Danio rerio: one gene and its partner. The protein of the gene in region 2 interacts with the protein of the main gene of each other region in a pairwise test. Links are inferred from orthologs where the notes say so. Each region holds a gene or a part of one and is shown on either strand. Other genes may lie near its edges.

Region 1 (3,666 bases), on a different chromosome or scaffold from region 2:
TCAACTAAGAAGAAACCAATAGCCCAGGATTAAAAATAATAATAATAATAAATCAATATTTTTTTTGCAAGGAGAGAAACAAAATATAAAATGTCAAAAATAGGAAAACCCTTATTTCTATAATATAAAATCAAACAGCATTAAATTGACAATAAAGAGCAGTGGGGACATCAGGGAGTGGAAATGCACATGTTGTATTAACCCTTTTCACAATCCTGTTATGATGTGTTTAACGGTCTTCAGCATCTCAAATACTTGAATGTTTTTAATATTTAGATTTTTTTTTTTAAAAACGTATGAACATTTATATGTATTTACGTATGTAGCATATTGTCTTTGCTTCAAATTACAAAAAACAAATTACCGCTTGTGTGAGGCATTTCTAATGCAGCGTCTTTGGAGCAGGACAGTACATTTGACGTTATTCTCTCCTTTGGCTGCCGTTTTCAGTCTCACACAATTTTTTTTCCTTTTTCTAAAAGTCGTTTTAACACTATTGTGGATTTTTATTTTGTTATATGAGTAATTAAGATTGTACTTTTTTTTTTGTATTCTCCCATTCACTGCGCTCTAAGTTTTCCCCAACTATGACGACTTCCGCTACTGAGAAACCCAGAAATGTGAAAAGGGTCCATTATGGCAGTCTCATACAAAAGCACAGGATGTTGTTTCAGCGAGGCAGCAGAGATTCATTACCTGGCTTGAAAGAGCTGGAGGAGGTGGGCAGTGTCTGCAATGAGCGACTGACATTTTGTTTCATGTCATGGTTCAGTGTGCGTGGAGATGACCCCAACCAGCTCGGCTCCTCCCAGCTTCTCCGTCCTGATGGGTCTGCTTTTGTGGGACTGGATGGGGCACTGAGAGCTCGATCGTACATCTGAGAGTAATCACAATAAATTCTACATCAATATTTCAAGTATATTTCTAAAATGTAGTTCAGCACTAGTAACAAAGTATTTCTTAAAAGGAGGTTCAATAATAAGCTTACATGTAAACAATGTAAAAGCCACTGTTAATTTAATGCTGCAGGACAGAAATATATTACTGAACCCAACTTAAGATTGTAGCTTATTTTTTCATTTTGAAGCAATTCATGTTTTTTTATTTGTAAACATGTTTTTTTATTTTTATTTTATTTTAAATATAAATGGCTTACTTTTAACAGTTGAACCTTAAAACTTACTTTTAAACCTTTATATTATGAAAAAGTACCGCATGTGTAGCTATAAATGTTCAAAAACAACCTCAGAAAAAAAGCATTACATCATGCCACATTCATAAAGAATACAGCCTGAAATGTGATGCTTGAAGAATGTGTTAAGACTAACCTAAATTTATCAGGGACAGATAACAATATTGACATAAGCATGCACCTAATACAATTTGCATAATTTTCAAGATGTTTCGCTGTGTAGAATTAATAAAAGCCCTTCCACAATCATGGGAGATTTTATTTAGGTGTTTATAGAATTGCGTTCTTGTACTCACTCTTTTAACGGCGAGTGTGGCGATGCCCAGCATGGCAGCTCCCCCCACTCCCAGCACCAGCTTTGCATTAGAGAGCACAAAGTCGATCGCTGTGCCCAGCCCATTGTCATCTTTCTTCCCCTTGCGATCCCCGTTCACTCCTGCCATCGATCTTTACCCTCCTTGAGGAGCAAGAAGATAGGATAAGATGATGACATCAAATTTTCTCATTAACTGGAAGCTCCATAACATTCAGAGCTTAGATGCAGTTCACTCAAAGATCACATCATGTTGATCACGGGACAGTTCAGTTCTGGTAACAAATTGTGGTGTTATTAGACAAAAGACTTCGATAAGTAGGACTGAACAAAAGGGGTTTTATGGTTGCAAAGTTCTAGCTGAAAAAAATCTAATATATTAAATAGTATTTTATTTAACCTTTTACCCTTAAACAAATGAGTGCTTTTACAGCAAATATTATAGAAATATGGGAAATAATCAAATATACCTACAGCTTTGTCCTTAAATTAAACAAATCAAAAGTTAATAAGTGCTTCTAACTGAATAACAGCTGTAGCTTTAACATGAATATATATAAACACTAAATCCAACATAACGCTATTTTATATTTGACTTAAAGTATTTTTAAGACTCCCATCTAAAACCTCATTTATTAGAATACCGACTAGGAGGAATTAACTATTTAATCTGAATAAATGAATGAATATATATATATATATATATATATATATATATATATATATATATATATATATATATATATATATATAAATATATATATATATATATATATATATATATATATATAAATATATATATATATATATATAAATATATATAAATATATATATATATATATATATATATATATATATATATATATATATAAATATATATATATATATATATATATATAAATATATATATATATATATATATATATATATATATAAATATATATATATATATATATATATATATATATATATATATATATATATATATATATAATATATATATATATATATATATATATATATATATATATATATATATATATATATATATATATATATATATATATATATATTAGCTTAATATAAATATTTTAATAGCTATTTCGTAACAACCATCTCAAATATAAAAACCTGATCTTACCAACCAGTGTCTTGATGCAGATGGCCCAGTTGTTCTACACCAAATCTCCCAGGCCGCTGTTGAGGAAGAACTGGCCTCTCTTGAGCGCGTCCTCCCTCTCTGCCGGGGCGCTGAGGGTCTGACAGCGCCTGAACTCTCGGGTCACTACACGCCGGTAGTAGTCTCGGTCAGTGTACTGTAGATGTTGGCCTGCACGGAGCAGAGCTCGGTACAGCTGCAGCACAGCACTGCGGGACCAGCCGCCCATCAGGGAGAGCTCAGAGTGGCCAAAGACACGCAACTCACACGCTGGAGAAAAAGAAAATCAACACATAAGGAATAGTTCATCAAAAAAATTACATTTTCTAAGCATACATTAACCCTTAAGTAGACACGGGCCAGTATAAGGTTCTGATGGTATGATAACCTTGGATAAAAATATCATGGTTTCACAGTATTGTGATTCGTAATCTAAAATATGTTCTTTTTTTGGGTAAAAAAAAAAAACAGCAACTTTTTACCCCATTGAACATATTATATTTTATTTTATTTTAAGAAACATTTCTAATATTTTGAAGCAGTAAACATGTCAGGCTAAATAATTAGAATGAATCATTGACTTTTGCTGTTTTCATTGGTATCAAAAACGTCCGTTCTTTGTACCTTTCTTAAATGATCTAAGACAGTGGTTCTCAAACTTTTTTCATCAGGTACCACCTCTGAAAAAAAAATCTCTCCAAGTACCACCATAATGCGCAGTATTGAAATACAGTAGGTTCACAAAACCCTTGAGTACTTTTTTTGAGATTTTAACAGATTCGTGTGTGTTTAGCATAATTCAAGACAATGTTAGCATCTGTTAGCTCTAATTGTGGTGAAAACTGGATAATTTTGAGCTTTTGTCAGCTAATTTCATCTTCCGGGTTTAAAATGATTTTTGGGGCGGGATCAAAATCAGCGACGTATAGCAAAACTGCAAGTGCAAAGATGACACGTCGGTTTCTCGTTATTCTTCATAACAGAGTTGTCTCATCCTATGAG
Region 2 (2,907 bases):
ACGTTTGTGAGAAATACTACAATAACAACTTTCCCAAATATTATTTGATGTATTTGTTGTGGAGTTAATTCAAGCCTATGGAACGTCATTGTGTGAGACTCATCATTGCATAAAGTTTACGCTAGAGAACCCGCCCCGTTTTCTACCCGCCGCGCCCGTTTCCACTAACGAGTGGGGGGAGAACAAAACCGAAAACCACCCAGCTATACAGAGTCCAGACAGCCTATAACAAACTGTCTGTATAAACACACACACACACACACACACACACACACACACACACACACACACACACATAAGCACCAAGCAAGTGACACACACACACATAGGCATCACACTCTTTCTCTCTCTCTCACTCACACACACAGACAGCACAAAGCTTTCTCTCTCATTCGTACACGCACACACGCACAGACACACACACAGAGTGATGCTGTGTTTAGCTTGTTTGCTGCTGTCTCATTCACACACATACATACGCGTGCTCGCTCGCTCGGAAGTCGGGAGCGATATTGTTGGACAGTTACTCCCGTCCAAAATTAAACCAGTTACCGACCGCTCCCGCGCTTTATTCGGAAATGTATTACCGCACCGCAGAAATCTGGTCGGGTTGAATGCAGACCTCTAGTTCACGCACACAAACACACACACACACGCAGTTGTGACAGGATACACGTTAATATCCTCTGCTGTGTGGATATCTGTTATGTTAATGTACATATTAAACTTGATTTAATGTCCATAACCGGGATTCTTCTTTTATAATTGTACTGATATGTGGCTGTGGTGATAAAGTAAAGACGGTAAAATCTCTGTAATAAAGTTTTAAAAAGGTTTTAAATTTGTAAAACTCATTCTTGATCATATTTGATGATGATTGATGTTCACAGCGATACCAGTTTCTTTGTGTATGTCCTGTCTTGTTGATATGATTATAGGCGTTACTACAGAGACATGTTAATACGCGACGTCAATCATTTTGGTGGGTACGGGAACCACACTCCTACGTCACGTTGTGGTGGGCCGCAAAATGGGGAAAATTTGGATCCTATTTTACTGTCAGGAAATTAAAAAAAAGAGACTTAGTGTATTTTTATCACTTCAATATGACTGTGGACAAATTATACCTAAACTCAGTTATGTTCAAACTGCTTAAAAACGATGTTTAGGTGCCCTTTAAATTAGCAGTTTTCCATATTTTGTGTATTTTATTTTATTTTCTGTTTATTTATGTTTTTGAAATGCATTATGGTACATTTTCTGTGACTTTTTTCTTTACTCTTTACATATAATTTCTTATACATTATATTATTTCAAACTACTAAAGTGTGAATAAATTTTCAACATCAAAAGTCGACAGAGCAAAGATCAAGATCCCATAATGCAATTCCTACTCGTAAATAAATGGATAAATGCTTGTGAATCACGAAATACGGAAACTGTTATTTAACATGTTTTACAGCAGTTAAATTAGCTATAATATTATGTTAAAAAGGAATTTATAATAATAACTTTTGTATTGCTATAATAATAATAACTGTTTTATGAAGGTCTCGAAGGTCCCCCCTCATGATTATCTCGAAAATATCCACACTGTAACACAACAGTTCATTTTCTAGCTGTATAACGTCTGACTGAATGGGCACAGAAGTGCTGATTTATTGCATTTAAATTAGTTGTCAATATTTGCCTGTGTTTTTATTGCACATTATAAGGGAATCGTGTAATAATTTTTTATTTAGACTGGACTTCTCAGGTTGTGCTTAAATAAATAGAAGCAAAATCAAATTGATCCGTTTTACTTGGCTTGATTTCTTTTTTCTTTCCTTTTGTATTACTAGTTTTTTTTTTTACAAAGTAGTTTTGCATGTTAAAGAAATAAGGTCTAAAATGTCATTTAGAACATTAGACTATAAATGTGCAGTAAAAAGTGTCCGTTTACTCATTTACTAATGAAGTTTCTTCAGTTAATGGATCATGATCATTCTGGATGAATGAGAAAAGATTAGGCTAGGTTCTGAATATTGCTCTTGCTGATATCAAGAAATCATATGGTGAGTTAACAATGTCAATATGTATTTTTATTTTTTTTAAGTGTGTGTTTCTTGAAAACAGTAAGCATGGAAGTCCCCCCCAGTAAACCTAATCATTAAAGAATTGTACATGAGATTGAGTTGGACTTTCCATTCATTAATTCTGGATTTATTTTTCTTATTTTTTTAAATTTCAGGTTTCCCATCAATATCTCGAAACAGAGATGCCTACCAGTCTATTGACCACAACGATCAATCTGGAAGCTCTGCCAACCCCTTTGGCCAAGCGGAAGATGGCAAATCTGGCACTCGTTCCTACTAAACATTTATTAAAAAATATATATAGCAAAATGTTTTGCAACCCAGGCTAAATGTGAATTTTTGCTTGGTTCATGATTTGTGTATGTTTTTGTTTAATTTGTATGCCTATTTATTATTATTATCATTATTATTATAAATAATAGTATTAAATATAATGTTGAAGCATGAAGGAAAACAACTTTACATTTGGAGATGCCTCGTTACTGAAGAAAACTCAGAGATAAATGAAAACCCACCTTCAACACCTTTTTTTTAACCTTAGGACTGCTTTGTACAAGTGCAAGCTGTTTGATTTTTTAAAGGTGTTATTTGTGAAGCTCAAAATTTGCTGCTTCACAGTAAGGTTCCTTGATGCTATAATTTTGGTGTGCACAACATTATTATTATTTTTTACTTTTACTTTTCTTCATTTACTATTTTGTAGCATAAAATTGGTCCATTTTGTGAAAGGTTTAAACTTTTTTTTCCAACCTGATCTCACAAGAAAACGCAAGTATTTTACGTTTTGTCAGTTTAGTGGCTAATTCGTACAAATTTGTACAAGTTCAGTCAT

What was found. The genes of interacting proteins can lie anywhere in the genome.
Region 1: the proteins of agtrap (region 2) and mief1 interact in binary tests that used the Homo sapiens proteins (3 or more experiments, as listed by UniProt). The two-hybrid records come from large-scale screens. The link is inferred for Danio rerio from reciprocal best matches to the Homo sapiens genes AGTRAP and MIEF1.

Annotation. Positions count from the first base shown.
Region 1 is NC_133178.1:23,885,242-23,888,907, forward strand, and holds part of mief1 (mitochondrial dynamics protein MID51), read right to left. Parts: intron 2,935-3,666; 5' UTR 2,651-2,934; exon of another isoform or gene 2,647-2,650; intron 1,650-2,646; 5' UTR 1,636-1,649; coding exon 1,489-1,635; intron 878-1,488; coding exon 697-877; intron 1-696. UniProt on the Homo sapiens protein: Mitochondrial outer membrane protein which regulates mitochondrial fission/fusion dynamics.
Region 2 is NC_133186.1:18,188,861-18,191,767, forward strand, and holds the end of agtrap (type-1 angiotensin II receptor-associated protein), read left to right. Parts: intron 1-2,230; coding exon 2,231-2,355; 3' UTR 2,356-2,379; downstream 2,380-2,907. UniProt on the Homo sapiens protein: Appears to be a negative regulator of type-1 angiotensin II receptor-mediated signaling by regulating receptor internalization as well as mechanism of receptor desensitization such as phosphorylation.